4 linked regions of the Xenopus tropicalis genome follow. The protein of the gene in region 1 interacts with the protein of each later gene in a pairwise test. Links are inferred from orthologs where the notes say so. Each region holds a gene or a part of one and is shown in the gene's direction. Other genes may lie near its edges. The genes, in order: psmf1, fbxo7, bend7 and khdrbs3.

Region 1 (5,461 bases):
GCTGTGTAACTGACTGGGGGGAGCTCGCGGGGAAGGGGGGTAACGGGGGGATTCCCCTGTGGGGCTGTGTAACTGAACGGGGGAGCTTCGGGGAGTACGGGGGGTAACGGGGGACGGTTCCCCTGTGGGGCTGTGTAACTTGACTGGGGGGAGCTCGGGGGTAACGGGGGATGTTCCCCTGTGCGGGCTGCTGTAACTGACTGGGGGGAGCTCGGGGAGGGGGTAACGGGGGGAATGTTCCCCTGTGGGGCTGTGTAAACTGACTGGCGCGGGGGCTCGGGGGGTAACGGGGATGTTCCCCTGTGGGGCTGTGGTAACTGACTGGGGAGCTCGGGGGTAACGGGGGATGTTCCCCTGTGGGCTGGGTAACTGACTGGGGAGCTCGGGGGGGTAACGGGGGATGTTCCCCTGTGGGGCTGTGTAACTGACTGGGGGGAGCTCGGGGGGTAACGGGGGATGTTCCCCTGTGGGGCTGTGTAACTGACTGGGGAGCGGGGGTAACGGGGATGTTCCCTGTGGGGCTGTGACTGGGGTACTGACTGGGGGAGCTCGGGGGTTAACGGGGGACGTTCCCTGTGGGGCTGTGTAACTGACTGGGGGGAGCTCGGGGGTAACGGGGGATGTTCCCCTGTGGGGCTGTGTAACTGACTGGGGGGAGCTCGGGGGGTAACGGGGGATGTTCCCCTGTGGGGCTGTGTAACTGACTGGGGGGAGCTCGGGGGGTAACGGGGGATGTTCCCCTGTGGGCTGTGTAACTGACTGGGGGAGCTCGGGGGGGGGTAACGGGGGACGTTCCCCTGTGGGGCTGTGTAACTGACTGGGGGGAGGCTCGGGGGGTAACGGGGGATGTTCCCCTGGGGCTGTGTAACTGATGGGGGAGCTCGGGGGGTAACGGGGATGTTCCCCTGGTGGGGCTGTGTAACTGACTGGGGGGAGCTCGGGGGTAACGGGGGCTAACGGGGACGTTCCCCTGTGGGGCTGTGTAACTGACTGGGGGGAGCTCGGGGGGTAACGGGGGACGTTCCCTGTGGGCTGTGTAACTGACTGGGGGGAGCTCGGGGGTAACGGGGGGTATGTTCCCTGTGGGGCTGTGTAACTGACTGGGGGGAGCTCGGGGGGTAACGGGGGATGTCCCTGTGGGGCTGTGTAACTGACTGGGGGGACTCGGGGTAACGGGGGACGTTCCCTGTGGGGCTGTGTAACTGACTGGGGAGCTCGGGGAAGCCGGGTAACGGGGGACGTTCCTGTGGGGCTGTGTAACTGACTGGGGGGAGCTCGGGGGGAAGCTCGGGGGGGTAACGGGGGACGTTCCCCTGTGGGGCTGTGTAACTGACTGGGGGGAGCTCGGGGGTAACGGGGGACGTTCCCTGTGGGGCTGTGTAACTGACTGGGGACTCGGGGGAAGCTCGGGGGTAACGGGGTTCCCCTGTGGGGCTGTGTAACTGACTGGGGGGAGCTCGGGGGGTAACGGGGGACGTTCCCCTGTGGGGCTGTGTAACTGACTGGGGGAGCTCGGGGGGGGGTAACGGGGGACGTTCCCCTGTGGGGCTGTGTAACTGACTGGGGGGAGCTCGGGGGGTAACGGGGACGTTCCCCTGTGGGGCTGTGTAACTGACTGGGGGGCTCGGGGGTAACGGGGACGTTCCCCTGTGGGCTGTAACTGACTGGGGGAGCTTGGGGGGTAACGGGGGACGTTCCCTGTGGGGCTGTGTAACTGACTGGGGGGAGCTCGGGGGGTAACGGGGGAATCTTTATATCATTTCAGTTGGTTTCTGTGATTTATTTTGTACGGTGGTTGAATTATCGGTGTTTCTATTCCGTCCGTTTCCCACAAGGGTCACTGACCCTATCGACCACTAAACAGAACTCCTCTGATTGTTCCACTTCTATAGTTACGCTACCTGGTTACTAAGGTAATGGAGGCATAGCAACCACAATGCAGCTGCAATTTTTAAGCCTTGAAGTTCCAGATAAAAAAAACAAATCATAAAAACCACAGGTTCTTAGCTGAATGGGGAGTAACCCGAGTGGGGGCCCGACCTGCCCCTGCCCTTACTACCCCAGACTAATATTGCCCCCCCCCCAAGGTTATTAACCCCCACACCCCACACCCCACACTGCAGCCCAACCCACACTGCTCGCCTTGGGGGGTACAAGAGGGTAATTTGCCCCTAGAGCAGGGTAAATAGTGTCGGTTGCTGGGAGTTGTGGGACTATTGGAGGGGGGGGGGGGGCAGGAAGTCCCGCCCCCCATTTATAGCGCCCCCTGGGGCGGAACCTCCAATCACTTCGCTCTGTTCTCCCGGCTGAACGCGGAAGCTGAAAGTGTTGGGACCGGAAGTGAGTATGACGCAGTTCCGATCATGGCGGCCCCGGGAATGGAGCTGCTTTTCTCTCTGGTTTCCGCCGATATTTCCCGCCCGCCGGATCCGCTGATCTGTTTCATCCACTGGGAGTTAATCAGCCGCCGCCTGCGGTGCCTGGGCCGGGGGGAGGAGGTGAGAATAAAGCCCGGCACCCCCTCCCCTGAGTGTGAGTGAGGGCTGAGTGTGAGTGAGGGCTGAGTGTGTGTTACTACACAGTAAGGGGGGCTCGGCCTGTATCCGCTAATGGGGGAGGGGCTGAAACTTTATTATACAGTCTGTGTGTGAGTGTAACAACCCGCCCCCTCTCCTGGTGCCCCGCCCCCTCTCCTGGTGCCCCGCCCCCTCAGCCTGCAGCCTTGTGCCTTTATATGGGGGGCACAGAACCCCTCAGTGACTGCTAATATCCTTATCATTTACAGTAGGGGGCACATTATCCCTTATAATACATGAGTGATACTCAGAGTTCCCTGTATAACTCAGCCTGCAGCCTTGTGCCTTTATATGGGGGGCACAGAACCCCTCAGTGACTGCTAATATCCTTATCATTTACAGTAGGGGGTACATTATCCCTTATAATACATGAGTGATACTCAGAGTTCCCTGTATAACTCAGCCTGCAGCCTTGTGCCTTTATATGGGGGGCACAGAACCCCTCAGTGACTGCTAATATCCTTATCATTTACAGTAGGGGGTACATTATCCCTTATAATACATGAGTGATACTCAGAGTTCCCTGTATAACTCAGCCTGCAGCCTTGTGCCTTTATATGGGGGGCACAGAACCCCTCAGTGACTGCTAATATCCTTATCATTTACAGTAGGGGGTACATTATCCCTTATAATACATGAGTGATACTCAGAGTTCCCTGTATAACTCAGCCTGCAGCCTTGTGCCTTTATATGGGGGGCACAGAACCCCTCAGTGACTGCTAATATCCTTATCATTTACAGTAGGGGGTACATTATCCCTTATAATACATGAGTGATACTCAGAGTTCCCTGTATAACTCAGCCTGCAGCCTTGTGCCTTTATATGGGGGGCACAGAACCCCTCAGTGACTGCTAATATCCTTATCATTTACAGTAGGGGGTACATTATCCCTTATAATACATGAGTGATACTCAGAGTTCCCTGTATAACTCAGCCTGCAGCCTTGTGCCTTTATATGGGGGGCACAGAACCCCTCAGTGACTGCTAATATCCTTATCATTTACAGTAGGGGGTACAGTATCCCTTATAATACATGAGTGATACTCAGAGTTCCCTGTATAACTCAGCCTGCAGCCTTGTGCCTTTATATGGGGGGCACAGAACCCCTCAGTGACTGCTAATATCCTTATCATATACAGTAGGGGGTACATTATCCTTTCGATGCAGACTATGTGTCGCCCCCCGCAGGCAGCAGCGCAGGAGTCGGGGTCGGAGCGCCTCCCGGAGGGATGGGCACACAGTACGGACCTGTACACGCTGCGCTACGGGAGCCCAAACTCACAGTTTTTGCTGAAAGCCCTGACAGTAGAGGGCGCTGTGATTGTGCATCTCATGGTAAGGAGAATGCCCCCGGGGCACTAACCCACTCTGCCAGTACAATGCTGTGCCGGTGTGCCAGCCAATGAAACAGGAGCCCATTGATTCTGAGCAGCTGATTGGCTCTCTCCCACAGGACATGCAGACGGAGAAGGTTGCGGATGTGACGCTGCAAGTGTCCCGGTTCATTGACTCCGCCCACCTGCAGGAATACCCCAGGTCAGAGGCTGGGGGGCCCCGGGGGGGGGGGAGGTTATGGTGGGGTTCCCCTGGCTGCCGTTACATCAGGTAGGCGGGGGGTTATGTGGGGTTCCCCTGGGCTGCCGTTACACAGGCTGGGGGGGGTTATGGTGGGGTTCCCGGCTGGCTGCCGTTACACAGGTAGGGGGGGATATATAGGTGGGGTTCCCCTGGTTCTGCCGTACAGACACAGGTACGGGGGGGGTTATGGCTGGCGCTTCCCCTGGCTGCCCGTTACACAGGTGGGGGGGGTTCATCGGTGGGGTTCCCCTGAGCTGCCGTCTCACACAGGATAGGGGGGGGTTATGGTTGGGGTTACCCCTGGCTGCCGTTACACAGGTAGGGGGGGGTTATGGTGGGGTTCCCCTGGCTGCCGTTACACAGGTAGGGGGGGGTTATGGTGGGGTTCCCCTGGCTGCCGTTACAGCAGGTGGGGGGGTTATGGTGGGTTCCCCTGGCTGCCGTTACACATGTAGGGGGGTTATGGTGGGGTTCCCCTGGCTGCCGTAAATAAGAATAAATACACAGGTGTGGGGGGAGATATGGTGGGGTTCCCCTGGCTGCCGTTACACAGGTGGGGGGGTTATGGTGGGGTTCCCTGGCTGGTAGAACCGTTACACAGGTAGGGTTATGGTGGGGTTCCCCTGGCTGCCGTTACACAGGTGGGTAGGGGGGGGTTATGGTGGGGTTCCCCTGGCTGCCGTTACACAGGTAGGGGGGGGTTATGGTGGGGTTCCCCTGGCTGCCGTTACACAGGTAGGGGGGTTATGGTGGGCGTTACACATTTAGTGGTGGGGTGTCCCTGGCTGCCGTTACACAGGTGGGGGGTTATGGTGGGGTTCCCTGGCTGCCGTTACACAGGTAGGGGGGGGGTTATGGTGGGGTTCCCCTGGCTGCCATTACACAGGTAGGGGGGGTTATGGTGGGGTTCCCCTGGCTGCCGTTACACAGGTAGGGGGGGGTTATGGTGGGGTTCCCCTGGCTGCCGTTACACAGGTAGGGGGGGGTTATGGTGGGGTTCCCCTGGCTGCCGTTACACGAGGGTGGGGGGTTATGGTGGGGTTCCCCTGGCTGCCGTTACACAGGTAGGGGGGGGTTATGGTGGGGTTCCCCTGGCTGCCGTTGACACACAGGTAGGGGGGGGTTATGGTGGGGTTCCCCTGGCTGCCGTTACACAGGTAGGGGGGGGTTATGGGTGGGGTTCCCCTGGCTGCCGTTACACAGGTAGGGGGGGGTTAGGTGGGGTTCCCTGGCTGCCGTTACACAGGTGGGTTCCCCTTGATAGATAGTGGTGGGGGTAATATGGTGGGGTTCCCCTGGCTGGGCC
Region 2 (4,560 bases), on another chromosome or scaffold:
AAACTCTGAATTCTAGGGTGACAGTTGCTCTTCCTGTTTGTATTCATTGCCTACAGCAGGGGTCCTCAAACTTCTTAAGCAATGGGGGGGCCAGACCACCACCTACCCCAGGGGGCTGGAACCGGCCCGTGGGCCACAGTTTGAGGACCCCTGGCCGACAGCATAGGCTCACATCTTGTTGCAATATGGCTGCCGCCATCCTCATTTCTCCTCTTTTGCACGTGCAGCCACCCTGAAGATTAACAGCGAGATGAAAAGTGTGCGGAAACTTCAGCTGTCGACCAATTCCTACATTTCCTACCCCGAGACAGGTACGGGGCAGATTCCGCCGGTAAAGGGGGTGCGGGGGCCAAAAAAATTGTCAGGAAAGGGTTAACGGATGAAGAGCCGGGATCAGAAGTTTATGTCTAAACACAAGAGCCATGCGTTTTCTGTAAACGATATCCTTTTAAATGGTGCTCTGTGATGTCATCAGTTATAATTGGTGCTCAGTGATGTCATCTGTATCACATGATGTGTTATAATAAATAAGGTACCCCCTGTTGTAAAATAGTCACCTTATATTCCGTTCCATGATCTGTATAAAAGCACTCGGCCTTTGGTGTTGTGCCTTTATATGGGCACAGAACCCCTCAGTGACTGCTAATATCCTTATCATTTACAGTAGGGGGTACATTATCCCTTATAATACATGAGTGATACTCAGAGTTCCCTGTATAACTCAGCCTGCAGCCTTGTGCCTTTATATGGGGGGCACAGAACCCCTCAGTGACTGCTAATATCCTTATCATTTACAGTAGGGGGTACATTATCCCTTATAATACATGAGTGATACTCAGAGTTCCCTGTATAACTCAGCCTGCAGCCTTGTGCCTTTATATGGGGGTCACAGAACCCCTCAGTGACTGCTAATATCCTTATCATTTACAGTAGGGGGTACATTATCCCTTATAATACATGAGTGATACTCAGAGTTCCCTGTATAACTCAGCCTGCAGCCTTGTGCCTTTATATGGGGGGCACAGAACCCCTCAGTGACTGCTAATATCCTTATCATTTACAGTAGGGGGTACATTATCCCTTATAATACATGAGTGATACTCAGAGTTCCCTGTATAACTCAGCCTGCAGCCTTGTGCCTTTATATGGGGGGCACAGAACCCCTCAGTGACTGCTAATATCCTTATCATTTACAGTAGGGGGTACATTATCCCTTATAATACATGAGTGATACTCAGAGTTCCCTGTATAACTCAGCCTGCAGCCTTGTGCCTTTATATGGGGGGCACAGAACCCCTCAGTGACTGCTAATATCCTTATCATTTACAGTAGGGGGTACATTATCCCTTATAATACATGAGTGATACTCAGAGTTCCCTGTATAACTCAGCCTGCAGCCTTGTGCCTTTATATGGGGGGCACAGAACCCCTCAGTGACTGCTAATATCCTTATCATTTACAGTAGGGGGTAGTAGGATTCAGCATCTTCATGTTCCCCCCACAGATAACAACATTGCCTCTGTGTATAAGGATCTGCAGAAGTTATCGGGGCAGTTTAAAGACCAGGTGGCCTACCCTCTGCTTGCTGCTGCCCGGCAAGGTAACAGTCCGCCCCGGGCCGCTATTGGCCACTTCCCCCCCCCCCCCCCCCCCAGTTATAGCCGTTATTACATCTCCTTCCTTTCCCGTCTCAGTGCTGAACCTCCCGGATGTGTTCGGGCTACTCGTTCTCCCCCCGGAGCTCAAGCTCAGGATTTTCCGCCTGTTGGACATTCGCTCCCTTCTCAGCCTCTCGGCCACCTGTAAGGAGTTCTTGGCCGACACCAACGACCCCTCCCTGTGGCGGTTCCTGTGCGTCCGAGACTTCCGGAGTGAGTACAAATTTAGGGACACTGCACCCACATATTCTTGTGCCTTGCAACACTGGGGGTGAGGGGGTAACCCGGCAGATCCGATTTGCAGTTATAGCCGCCATATTGTTCTTAAAGGGGCGGTTCACCTTTATGTTAACTTGTATGTTATAGAATTGCAAATGATCAGCTTTTCAATTGGTCTTTATTTTTTATTATTATTATTGGACTATCTTTTTATTCAAAAACTTCTCCTATTCATATTCTAGTCTGTTATTCCAACCACTGCCTGGTTGCTAGGATAATTCGGACCTTAGCACCCAGATAGCTGCTGAAATCCCAAGCTAAATAGTACAAAAACCAATTGCAGCAGTTTGGGTGCACTGCTTTGTGGCAATGCTGTTAGGGATCAGCACTAAAAGGCAAAGTTTTGGTATCTTGGGTTTATGTTGCTTTGTGGCAATGCTGTTAGGGATCAGCACTAACTCTATGCTTTGCTGTTGAACAGATAACCTTCCAAGGAGTTTGGACATGGATTGGAAAAAGGTGGGTGCTGTTACTGTAGATATGGGCCGGGGCCTTGGGTGCAACTCAGTATAAGGGCCGCCATCTTTGTTTGTGTTGCAGCTCTACAGGGAGAAGTACAAGCAGAAGATGGAGCGCAGCCGCTTTGTACGCCGGCACTTCCTGCCCCCCAGGATCACCCACCCTTACCCTTATTACCCCAACATCTTCCCCCCTGACTTAAATTACCCTCCGGGTATCATCGGGGGTGAATACGACCAAAGGCCCTTCCCCCCTATCCTGGACCCCAGTTTCATCCCCCGAGTCGGGCCGACTTCCTCGCACTTCAGTCCCTTATCCAACCCCTTTAAAGTCACAGTCCCCTTTTCTGAGAGCGACCCATCGATCCCGGGGCCCAGCAGTCTCCGCCCCAGCAGAGGAAGGGGCCCCGACATCCGGAGGGGCTTCATATGAACTCCCGGGGGGGTCGGAGACATTCGGAGGTCGGACTGTTGCACTGGATGTTTCCCCTTAAGTTGTGAATAAGCCCCTGGCGCTGGACTTCCTGCTTTGTTATTATCTGGGGTACATGGGGCAAATGGGGGCAGTTACCCCCCCACTGGGGTGTTTCTATTACTAATAGAACTGTTTGTTAAGAATAATTAAGAGCGGGGGCTTGGGGAAACTTTTTTTTTTTTTTTTTATTATTTATGACATCAATAAATAAATACAAATACAGAGAACAGAAAATAGAAATAATCCTCGGCCAGAAGGTGGGAACCTGCAGAGTAGAACCCCCCCCCCACCCCTCCTGGGTACCCCTGGAACTATAGCAGGGTGACTGTTACCCCAATGTTTCTATATATCTGTAACCTTGTTATGGGCTAAGGGGGCCCAGCCTGAAGGCCAGTTAGGGGGGGATTTGGGGTGAGTGCTTATTTGTGCCCTGGGTACCCCTGGAACTATAGCAGGGTGACTGTTACCCCAATGTTTCTATATATCTGTAACCTTGTTATGGGCTAAGGGGGCCCAGCCTGAAGGCCAGTTAGGGGGGATTTGGGGTGAGTGCTTATTTGTGCCCTGGGTACCCCTGGAACTATAGCAGGGTGACTGTTACCCCAATGTTTCTATATATCTGTAACCTTGTTATGGCTAAGGGGGCCCAGCCTGAAGGCCAGTTAGGGGGGGATTTGGGGTGAGTGCTTATTTGTGCCCTGGGTACCCCTGGAACTATAGCGAGGTGACTGTTACCCCAATGTTTCTATATATCTGTAACCTTGTTATGGGCTAAGGGGGCCCAGCCTGAAGGCCAGTTAGGGGGGGATTTGGGGTGAGTGCTTATTTGTGCCCTGGGTACCCCTGGAACTATAGCAGGGTGACTGTTACCCCAATGTTTCTATATATCTGTAACCTTGTTATGGGCTAAGGGGGCCCAGCCTGAAGGCCAGTTAGGGGGGATTTGGGGTGAGTGCTTATTTGTGCCCTGGGTACCCCTGGAACTATAGCAGGGTGACTGTTACCCCAATGTTTCTATATATCTGTAACCTTGTTATGGGCTAAGGGGGCCCAGCCTGAAGGCCAGTTAGGGGGGGATTTGGGGTGAGTGCTTATTTGTGCCCTGGGTACCCCTGGAACTATAGCGGGGTGAGCTGAACACCTGTTACAGTGTAAATAAACCCAATAAACATGAGGGCACGGAGGGTTCAGGTGCGCGGGCCCGGGCTTTCGGCCGTGGGGAATCTAACAAAGCGAATCAGAAATGATGACAGTTTTGGCACACACTGCGACCCCTCATTCCAGAATCAGATTAAGGTTTATTCCAGGAGTATCGGCTCCAAACAAAGCTCGGCCGGAGCCAGCGCTCGTTGAATAAACATTTTAATCTCCTGTGGAATGAGGTGCATCTGTGGGCGCCAGGCCTGTCAGCAATCGCGACGCGCTCTATTGGAGACCCACGTTATGAAGATGCCATAACCGCGGCCAAGTCTTTGAAGACATTTTACTGGATTCTTGGCTTTCACCGCCGTCCAGAAACACTTTGGCATCCGGGTGCCTCTGTAATTGGTGCCCCTGAAACAATAGACATTATATGGGCAAACGTATCCGGACCCTCTAATATGCCAGGTCCTCAGGCTGAACCCTCACTGCTGGGTCTCCAGAAGCTCAGGGAGTCAACCAAACCCAACAACACTATGGTCAATGCCAA
Region 3 (4,998 bases), on another chromosome or scaffold:
CACTGTGTAAGGAGGGCTACTGTGTATGGGGGGGCACTGTGTAAGGAGGGCTACTGTGTATGGGGGCACTTTCTATGGGGGCATTGTGTATGGAGGGTACTTTCTATGGGGGCACTTTGTACGGGGGCTACTGTCTGTGGGGCAATTGAGGGCATGGTCTATGGGGTCAATTGGGGGCACTGTCTATGGGGGGTACTGTTTATGGGGGCAAATGGGGCACTGTGTATGGGGGGCACTGTCTATGGGGGTGCTGTCTATTGGGCCATCGTGGGCACTATTTTAAAAATGGGGTGTGGTAATTGGGGCGTGGCCACAAAGTGGGCGTGGCCAAAAAATTTCGCGCTGCACACGCCAAGTCTATTTGTCCCTCTTTTCATTTTTCAAATGTTGGGAGGTATGGTACATCAAAAGTTAGCTATGGGTTATATTGATTGTTTTTTGCCCAGATGTCTGCTTTATTTAGTAAAGTTACCTGAATGTCTGAAACCCGACTGTTTTGCAAACCCGACTGGCACTTTTCAACCTGTCAATTAGTGTTTCACTTCACTGACGTCAGCTGAAGCTGGGCAGCGCTGCCTGTAAGTGTCTTCTCAATAAATCTTTGCACCAGAACTATACTAATTAGTCCTGCTGTGATTTATTATTTGAAAGGAACACGATCCCATATAGATAACAAGTATACACTTTGTCTGCTTGTGCCTGCTATAGAGCGTCCATGACAGAGACGGCCAGTTCAAAGGGTATCAGAGCAAATATGCTTAGAAAGGAATGCAAAAGCCTCATTCCTAAACACCACTGTCCACTGTTGTACTTCAGCATTAAAAGATTTCATTAGAAATAGTTTGTATGTGCAGCACTGAATCCGATTGGCTAGGATTTTCAAACTAAAATTAAGGGCAGTGTTTTCAAACAACAACTGCCCAAACAAGGCAGCCCCCTCAGAGAGAAACCCATGAGACCAGAATGGCAATGTAAAAGTGATAGCTATATGGTTATAGGTTGAAATTAAAGAGATAATACAATGATAAAGCAATGAAAGGTTTAAAAAACATCTTTATTTTTGGTGTCAGTATCACTTTAATTCCTAACTTACTACTAAAAAAGTATATTTTTATGAAAATGGTTTATTTAGATGAAGCAGAGTTTTACATATGAGCTGGTTTATGCAATATATTTTTATAGAGGCCGACACTGTTTGGGGGGTATAGTTTCCCTTTAAAATCACTAAAAATTCTGTCTCTCTAAATGAAGGGTTTGTGCAAGAGCACCCCCCCCCAAAAAAAAGATATATTGGACCTTACTGTCAATCAAAATCAACTTCTGCATAAAGAGGGAATGAAGATAAACAAATGCTGAGAGGGGATCATAGTAAAGATAAATGTGATTATTTCAGAAACAGTACAGAATGTTTAGAAAGTTTCTTATTTCAGTATGGTGATGCTTATATTACATATTTACAGTTGTTTATGTTTTTTTAAGTAAAAAATGTAAATTTGTGGAGTATCTAGAACCTCAATTTGAGATTTATTAAGAACTGGTATATGAAAGCTGCGGAGTTTATGTAGAAATCAATGGGAGATGTATTGGCAAGGTCTGCAAATGTATTACTAACATGTTTATAATTATGAAACACCCTACATTAAAACCTAACTTGTAATTTTTAGAATACTTAGGAGCACATTTACTAAGAAATTTTAAGAAAAAGTTGATTTACAAATGGGCTTTTGCCATTGATATTGTTTCTTGAAAAATTAGATTTTTCTGGAAATTTTGCCCGAAACATTTGATTTTTTCTAAAATAACTCCCGTAATTTGTGATTTATTAATGTTTAGTTAACTTTTTTTTGTAAAAAAAAAAAAAAATTCGACAGGTTGATTTGTCGAGTACAATTGAGTCCTTTCAAGGCTTGGAATAGAAGAGGAATAGAATAGCCTGTCCTTGACACATTTTCAAGGGGAATTTAATCCCATTATTGTTTTCAGTTTCACCCACATTCAAGTGAAACTAGAATGAGTACCAATGCTCCTAAAATGGCTGCTGGAGCAATTCCTGTTTGGCAAAAATAAAGAAGATTAATGGAAATGAACGTTCGTTTAAACTCAAATTTTTCGAGTTTCAAATATATATATAGTTGTGGCTTGAAAAATTTGCGATTTTCTAACATAAAATTTGAAATTTTCTTACGAAAGATTCAAGCATTATCGTGACATTTTATAAATACAACAATGATTAAGTTTAATTCGAATTTATACCGTGTTGAGGTTTTTTCTGTCAAGGCCAGAAAAAGATGAGTTTAAGTAAATGTGACTGTTAATTTTATATCTAGAGAAATGATGGGCTGTACCTACTTTGTATGTATTTTTTGAGAACACATTAATAGCTTAATTACTGTATCATGTATTACCGTATATACTCGAGTATAAGCCGATCCGAATATAAGCCGAGGTACCTAATTTTACCTAAGAAAACTGGAAAAACTTATTGACTCGAGTATAAGCCCCTCAATGGTGCAGCATGAAAAGCATCCATATACCGGTATACAAAATCTTTAATCCCATAAGTAAATATGGCATTTCTGTATTCTTTAAATACACCAAATTGCAAAGTATACATGCCTTTAATTTTAAAATATTAATGGAATTACAAGTAGAGCGGAAGCAACCATGCATATGGATTTTTTTTTTTTTTTTAACTTTGTTTTTATTGGTTGTTTTACAGCAAGGTAAAATACATATGAAATATATGAAACAAAAAAGAAGGAAGAAGGAAAAGGGGGGGTTAAAGAAAGTTGGGTGGGGGTTAGATAGGGGGTTGAGGGTGTTTTTTAATTTTTAAAGAAAAGCTCCATTTATTCAGGCTATGGATTTTCCAGCAAACAGCCCTAATATAAACAAATGTGAGTGTATTAAGCAATGCTAGGGCCCACGGCTAGCACAAGGATATCATAACCAAGCATTTCAATAGTGTGGAGTAACGGTGCTGCCTTTTGTGTCACTTACTGTCATTGTCATTCGGCAAGATGTTGGCACTAACAGTAGCAACAGTAACTAACTGTAGCGCGCACACTGTGTCCACATTCTCCTTAAGGCCGGGCACGGGGGGGTCCAGGGAGGGGGGTGCTCCTCCTGTGCTCCACTGTGTCCTTACCTGCAGCGGCGCGCTGTGCAGAATGTCGCGCGCACGCCGTGTCCACACGCTGCTGGAGGCTGGCACACTCAACTACCGCATTGCATGATGTATACAGTAGAAATGGAAGAAATGAACTAGAAGAGCTTTACAATAAAAATATGCATTTTACTTACTTACTTTTACTAAATGTTTTAAGGGATCTTTTATGTAAAAAAGCTGGTACCTTAAGTATATTTGTTTCTTGTGGTGTCCCGTGTAGAGATGTGTTGTAAGGTACTGCTTATTTGTTTGCCAGCAATGTGCAAAATAAGGAAATCTCTGCCCTACTATATTGAAGTAAGGTATCTCTGCCACAGCTTTCTTGGAGGTTGGGGCCTTTCTTTGCCTAAATGTGGCCCTGACAACAATTAAAGGAACAGTAAAATAAAAAAATTTAAATGATAATGTATTGTTGCCCTGCACTGGTTTGCTTCAAAAAAACTATTTCAGTTAATATAAATAAGCTGCTGTCTAGCCATAGGGGCCAAAGGCACAGGTTACATAAGCAAACAGATAATAGCAGATAAGCTTTGTAGAATACAATAGGAATCTATGCAATTTATCTGCTATATAACCTGTGCCTTTTCTCCTTTTTTCAATTTGAATGGGTACCCCCATGGCTACACAGCATTTTTGTTTACATAAACTATAGTAGTGTTTCTGAAGCAAACACACAACTTTTACCAGTGCAGGGAAACAGTAGATAATAGCTTAATTACTTTGATACACTTTCAGTTTTTGGTGTTACTGTTCCTTTAAAGTAAACATCCCAGTTAGTACAGATGTGTGGGCAGATGAATGTTGGGAACCCCTATGTATTCAATATACAGAGATTCTCAAATGAGACCATGTTGAAGAAACAGAATTATGTATTTTCAAAAGCAGTAATTTATATTTAAAAATGCAAAAACAATCTAACCCTAACTTGAAAGTTTTCCTTTTATTCCCATATTTACAACCTGCCCAGCTACAAAGTAGAAAGCGGCACACAATATATACAGTATACTTCTGGTGAAGTGTTTTGCCCTCACCTTTAAAATAACTAAACAACTAATAATTAACACCATTTATACATGCATATGTGTTTTATTACAGTTTCGCAAAGCCGTATGCAGGTTCCGCAGTCATGCATTTGCAATCAAAAGGCAGCCATGGCAAGGAAAAGAATAATAAAGAAAAAAGTGCTTTTAAAGAATACAGCAGTATCTCCTGTAATCAGCCCACCAAGTGTGAGTGAGAAAGAGCACAAGGCCATGGTGCTCCCAGAAAGGTCCAGTCTGACAGAAAAAGGGAGAGCCAAGAAAGAGGAGGAGCACATGCTGGGATTTGGAATTGTTGTTGATTCTTCATCCTCTGATGTAAGTTGCACTGCAAAGGTTAATTAGTTGCTTTGGCCTCTAGCAATATAATGAGTTACTCATAAATTCTTAAAATACCACTGCAAAATAAATAACATTTCTACCTTGCAAACAGTTCTCTTTTAGAGGTACTTCCTTATATACTGTAATGGTGATTTAAAACTTGTTCTATATATAGTTATAATTACATGTATCAAATAAAAAATAATGATGAATGTGGTGGCTTTATTGTGAGAAAACATTATTTTTCTGTAAAATTCTATGGCTCATATTTTGCTATGTTTTTAACTGATAAATAGGGCCACAGTGGTCCACGTTCCTACCTGAAACCAGTTGTTGATTTGAATGACTTGGAGCTGTCATTAAGATTATAAATGAAAGAGACTGAAAGACTCGAATTTATTCACAAATTCATTTCAGTTGTTGCTAGCATTTTTGAATTTAGTGTTTATTAGTTTCTGTTGGACAATT
Region 4 (5,706 bases), on another chromosome or scaffold:
AGGCTTCCCCTGGGAGACCATTAATGACTTTATAATTAGCCATAAATTCCTACGTTGTGATTGGTTCACTGCAATTTGGGTCCTGTCAGGGGTTTTCAGTTTTATTGCTGTGATATCATTAACTTGGGTTCAAATGGGGGAGAAGGGGGGTCTGGGAGAGTGGGATAAAGAATTTGTTTGGGAATGAGACTGGGCTGAGCTGTAGTAAAGGACTAGTTAGGGTACTCTGTATGTCCAATGTATGTAACCCACTTATTGTACAGCACTGCGGGATATGTTGGCGCTTTATAAATAAATGTTAATGTAATGTCTTTGGGGCAAGGTGGGGGTAGGAGGAGATTGTATTATATGTGGTTAGGAATTTGGATGGGGGGTGGGTGGGGTTATGCAGGAGGTAGAGATTTAGGCAGGATTGGAGAAATTCAGGGAGGGTGCCCTTTGTGTAGGAGACAGGGATGTAGGGAGGGTTGGGGGGTCTGTAGTTTGGTAGAGATTCGAGGAAGTGTATTGGTTATATGGGGGCAGAAATTAGTTGAGGGTGCCCTTTGTGTAGGAGACAGTGATTTATGATAGGTTGGGGGGGTCCCACAATTTGGTAGAGATTTAGGGGTGTATTGGTTATATGGGGGCAGAAATTAGTTGAGGGTGCCCTTTGTGTAGGAGACAGTGATTTATGATAGGTTGGGGGGGTCCCACAATTTGGTAGAGATTTAGGGGTGTATTGGTTATATGGGGGCAGAAATTAGTTGAGGGTGCCCTTTGTGTAGGAGACAGGGATTTATGATAGGTTGGGGGGGTCCCACAATTTGGTAGAGATTTAGGGGTGTATTGGTTATATGGGGGCAGAAATTAGTTGAGGGTGCCCTTTGTGTAGGAGACAGTGATTTATGATAGGTTGGGGGGGTCCCACAATTTGGTAGAGATTTAGGGGTGTATTGGTTATATGGGGGCAGAAATTAGTTGAGGGTGCCCTTTGTGTAGGAGACAGGGATTTATGATAGGTTGGGGGGGTCCCACAATTTGGTAGAGATTTAGGGGTGTATTGGTTATATGGGGGCAGAAATTAGTTGAGGGTGCCCTTTGTGTAGGAGACAGGGATTTATGATAGGTTGGGGGGGTCCCACAATTTGGTAGAGATTTAGGGGTGTATTGGTTATATGGGGGCAGATATTCAGGGAGGGTGCCCTTTGTGTAGGAGACAGGGATGTAGGAATAGTTGGGGGGTCTGTAGTTTGGTAGAGATTTAGGGGTGTATTGGTTATATGGGGGCAGATATTCAGGGAGGGTGCCCTTTGTGTAGGAGACAGGGATGTAGGGAGGGTTGGGGGGTCTGTAGTTTGGTAGAGATTTAGGGGTGTATTGGTTATATGGGGGCAGATATTCAGGGAGGGTGCCCTTTGTGTAGGAGACAGGGATGTAGGAATAGTTGGGGGGTCTGTAGTTTGGTAGAGAGTTGAAGAAGGTACTATGGGGGCAGTAATTTGGGGGGGGGCAGGGGGTTCTATGGGGAAGCAGGGGGTTAGTAGTGGGGTAACATGGGAACTGAGATTGTGTGAGGATTGGCTGTGGGTATCAGGCATTAGAGTAGAATTGGGGCAGAAGGTACAGGGGGGGTTAGTTCCTATCCGGGCAGTGGAAGGAAGACATAGGGTAGCGGTATAACGGGTAACGGGACTGTATGTGGGAGAGTTCGGTACCGACTGCAGCAGAACATCGCAGGGGCCCCGGCTTGGGCTCCGCACCCACAGCGGCTCAGTAACGTACTCCCGGCCCCTCCCGCACTGTCCCAGCCCCGCCCATTCAGTCAGTCCCAGCTCCGCCCATTCAGCACCACAGACAGCGACCAACGGGGAGACTCGCTAAATATTAATGAGCCTGTCACTTACTCCTTCCCACCATTGGTTGGGAACAGACAAGGGGCGTGTGTATGGGCGGGGTTGGCGGAGGAATTTGCTTGTTCCCCGCCCAAGGGAGGGAAGCGGTGGGTTGGCGCAGCCGTTTGTTTTTAAGGAGACGTGAGTGGGCTGCTGGGTCAGTCGGAGCCGGGCGGGCTGAGAGGAGGCTGTGTGGGAGCCGCACGCTGTGGGTACGGGGAGGGCAGTGACAGTGACTCTCTGTGGCGGAACTTCGCTCTGACAGGGATCCCTACGGGCTGCTCTATTGCCCCTGCCGCGGACTATTTCCAACCCCTTTGGGTCGCCCGGACTGGCCCTCGGATTCCCGCTGGATTCTCCGGAGTATTAACCCCCCTACCCCCGTATGGAGAAGTATCTCCCGCAGCTCCTGGCTGAGAAGGACGCGCTGGATCCGTCATTCACTCACGCACTCAGGATGGTGAAGGAAGGTAGGAACTATTGCCCCCCCCGGGGTATTATATTGTTATATTATGGGGGACACTTGCACTGGGGGTGACCTCTGGGGTATATTTATCCTGTGGGGTACAGAATGCAGTGCGATTCCCCCCCCGGGTATATTTTACTGGAACTGCCCCACTGGGGTACATTCATTCCTACCCTCTGCCCAGGAACAGCCCCCCTGTACTCTACTGCCCCCCCAAGGGAACTCATGCACTGTAACTGCCCCACTGGGGTACATTCATTCCTACCCTCTGCCCAGGAACAGCCCCCCTGTACTCTACTGCCCCCCCCATGGGAACTCATGCACTGGAACTGCCCCGCTGGGGTACATTCATTCCTACCCTCTGCCCAGGAACAGCCCCCCTGTACTCTACTGCCCCCCCATGGGAACTCATGCACTGGAACTGCCCCACTGGGGTACATTCATTCCTGCCCTCTGCCCAGGAACAGCCCCCCTGTACTCTACTGCCCCCCCATGGGAACTCATGCACTGGAACTGCCCCACTGGGGTACATTCATTCCTGCCCTCTGCCCAGGAACAGCCCCCCTGTACTCTACTGCCCCCCCATGGGAACTCATGCACTGGAACTGCCCCGCTGGGGTACATTCATTCCTGCCCTCTGCCCAGGAACAGCCCCCCTGTACTCTACTGCCCCCCCATGGGAACTCATGCACTGGAACTGCCCCACTGGGGTACATTCATTCCTACCATCTGCCTTGGGACAGCCCCCCTGTACTCTACTGCCCCCCCATGGGAACTCATGCACTGTCACTGCCCCACTGGGGTACATTCATTCCTGCCCTCTGCCCAGGGACAGCTCCCCAGTACTTTATTACCCCCCCCCCAAGGGAACTCATGCACTGGAACTGCCCCACTGGGGTACATTCATTCCTACCATCTGCCTTGGGACAGCCCCCCTGTACTCTACTGCCCCCCAAGGGAACTCATGCACTGAAACTGCCCCGCTGGGGTACATTCATTCCTGCCCTCTGCCCAGGGACAGCCCCCCTGTACTCTACTGCCCCCCCAAGGGAACTCATGCACTGGAACTGCCCCACTGGGGTACATTCATTCCTACCCTCTGCCCAGGGACAGCCTCCTTGTACTCTACTGCCCCCCCAAAGGGAATTAATTCACTGAAACTGCCCCACTAGGATACATTCATTCCTACCCTCTGCCCAGGGACAAACCCCCTGTACTCTACTGCCCCCCATGGGAACTCATGCACTGGAACTGCCCCACTGGGGTACATTCATTCCTACCCTCTGCCCAGGGACAGCCTCCTTGTACTCTACTGCCCCCCCAAGGGAACTCATTCACTGGAAGTGCTTCCCTGAGACATATCATCTCTTCCTCCTCTCCTAAAATTGGTCCTACTCAGTAAAGTACCCTCACCATCATCTATCCATCTATCTATCTATCTATCTATCTATCTATCTATCTATCTATCTATCTATCTATCTATCTATCTAATCTACCTATCCATCCATCTCTGAAGAATAAGGTAAATCAATGTTCATTCTCCAAAGCACATTCACCTTAACAACCTCCTATGGAACATGTCCCTCAGCTTCCCAAACAGTCATGTTAAGAACCCCCAAGCCCTTTATACTAAGAATTCACCCCCCAATGTACAATACCACCCAAGGATTTTACCTCTACCCTCAAGTCAAAGCTGCTCATACTCCGGGGACTGCGCTCCCTAAAGCTCCCCTATAACCTTATCCTCTCTAGGGAACTCATCTCTCAACCTCTTCCAAAAATCACAATGCTTGGGGCAGGGGGGGCTCTCTCTTCTTGATGGCCAGGATTATATCTAGAAAGTCTTTTTGTTTTAAGAGCAACCCCTTGGCTAAACTTAGTGATGGGATTGGGTAGAAGGACTGGAATCTTGAAATCTAAATTGCTCTTTTGGAGAGGGTGGGGGGGTAATATGTTTCCAGGCTCTGCTTTCACTCTGGTTGGGGTGGGTACATAGGATAACGTCTCTGAAATGCAAAAAAATCACATTGTGGTATTGGTACCTGACCTAAATCTGTCATTACCTGTTCTAGGGGGAAGCTATGGATTTGAACTACTATAGCTCCCTCTGGGGGTCTTGTACTTAGAATGCTCTTGGTGGTGGTGGGGGGCTGCGTTCTAAAACTACACTCACTCCACCTTCTAATGTATCTATAGCATATTGTAGCTCGCCCCGAGTCCCTCTGGGAAGATCCAACGCCAGCTGTTTCCCTCATGTTAATTCTATTGAGATCCGCTGTATCTCACAATAGGTGCCACATATATAGCATTCTCCGTCTCTCTCTAAGAGACCGTGGCAGTCACACCTACAGAGCAGTCTCCATCTCTCTATTTCGGTGGAAGAGAGCCCACCCCAAGGTATTGTCATCGCTTTATTTTTACCCTGGTTTCAGTATAGGAATCCTCAGGGTAGGACAACATGCAGCCCCGGGAAAGGAATCCTGTTGAATAAGATTTAATTGCTCCTCATCCGATCAAAGCGAGACGTCTCCCAAGTACAAAGAGCAAATTTTATGACCCCCAATATATATATATATATACGAATGTACAAAGTTGTTTTGTGCCACCTGTGTATGTATATATGCATTATATATATATATATATATAGATATATCACTGGGATTTTCCTATTGCAGTAGCCAATGTACCGAGGGAGACCCGCAGATGCAGCAGCTAGCCATGTGTCCCAGCGGATTCATAGGCTGTTTATACATATATATATATTTACTGTAAGCTATATACATATATACCCCCTGATGTATCCCAGCCGGGCTTGCTATTCCAGCAGATAAATGCTCAAGCCTGACAGAAAGGGCTTTGTCTATTTTAATTGCCATTTGTTGACGATCAAAGCCCTTCTCTCGATTTAAGATAAAAAAATGTGAAGTCCTCAGTGTGATAATTTCATTGACTGTCTATAAACCCGTCAACACAAATGCAGACAACAGGATCCGGGGTGGGGGGGGGGGCTTTGGTTTATTTCTAAGGGGACACAGTTGTCAGACCTCTCCATTGTTTGCTCGCTGGTTCTGATTTGCTGCAGATCCTTTGTGCCGTTTCACGTACAGTAATTAAGCTCGCAAGGACCTACGGCACCCATCTTGCTAACCCCCCTATGAATATATGCAGGATGTCGTTACATGCCAGATGTAAAAGTGATGTTTATAAAAAGAACTATGAACGTTGTCTCTGTTGGAGGTGAATGTGCTACACCCCTTCTTGGTCCTACTAAACTCCTTATCCTCTGACCTTTACCTAGAATGGGATTAGTCAGACAGTATATATTTAAGGGGTTAATTGGCAGTTTTCTCTGCATTGCATACATCT

Evidence for each region.
Region 2: the proteins of psmf1 (region 1) and fbxo7 interact in binary tests that used the Homo sapiens proteins (3 or more experiments, as listed by UniProt). The link is inferred for Xenopus tropicalis from reciprocal best matches to the Homo sapiens genes PSMF1 and FBXO7.
Region 3: the proteins of psmf1 (region 1) and bend7 interact in a two-hybrid assay, tested with the Homo sapiens proteins (2 studies listed by BioGRID and IntAct). The two-hybrid records come from large-scale screens. The link is inferred for Xenopus tropicalis from reciprocal best matches to the Homo sapiens genes PSMF1 and BEND7.
Region 4: the proteins of psmf1 (region 1) and khdrbs3 interact in a two-hybrid assay, tested with the Homo sapiens proteins (2 studies listed by BioGRID and IntAct). The link is inferred for Xenopus tropicalis from reciprocal best matches to the Homo sapiens genes PSMF1 and KHDRBS3.

Annotation. Positions count from the first base shown.
Region 1 is NC_030686.2:690,126-695,586, forward strand, and holds the start of psmf1 (proteasome inhibitor PI31 subunit), read left to right. Parts: upstream 1-2,256; 5' UTR 2,257-2,363; coding exon 2,364-2,498; intron 2,499-3,716; exon of another isoform or gene 3,717-3,738; coding exon of another isoform or gene 3,739-3,765; coding exon 3,766-3,912; intron 3,913-4,030; coding exon 4,031-4,113; intron 4,114-5,461. UniProt on the Homo sapiens protein: Plays an important role in control of proteasome function. Inhibits the hydrolysis of protein and peptide substrates by the 20S proteasome. Also inhibits the activation of the proteasome by the proteasome regulatory proteins PA700 and PA28.
Region 2 is NC_030679.2:7,489,069-7,493,628, reverse strand, and holds the end of fbxo7 (F-box only protein 7), read left to right. Parts: intron 1-227; coding exon 228-311; intron 312-1,504; coding exon 1,505-1,600; intron 1,601-1,694; coding exon 1,695-1,871; intron 1,872-2,358; coding exon 2,359-2,396; intron 2,397-2,477; coding exon 2,478-2,828; 3' UTR 2,829-3,097; downstream 3,098-4,560. UniProt on the Homo sapiens protein: Substrate recognition component of a SCF (SKP1-CUL1-F-box protein) E3 ubiquitin-protein ligase complex which mediates the ubiquitination and subsequent proteasomal degradation of target proteins and plays a role in several biological processes such as cell cycle, cell proliferation, or maintenance of chromosome stability.
Region 3 is NC_030679.2:81,756,168-81,761,165, forward strand, and holds part of bend7 (BEN domain-containing protein 7), read left to right. Parts: intron 1-4,264; coding exon 4,265-4,527; intron 4,528-4,998.
Region 4 is NC_030682.2:144,622,763-144,628,468, forward strand, and holds the start of khdrbs3 (KH domain-containing, RNA-binding, signal transduction-associated protein 3), read left to right. Parts: upstream 1-2,016; 5' UTR 2,017-2,259; coding exon 2,260-2,344; intron 2,345-5,706. UniProt on the Homo sapiens protein: RNA-binding protein that plays a role in the regulation of alternative splicing and influences mRNA splice site selection and exon inclusion. Binds preferentially to the 5'-[AU]UAAA-3' motif in vitro.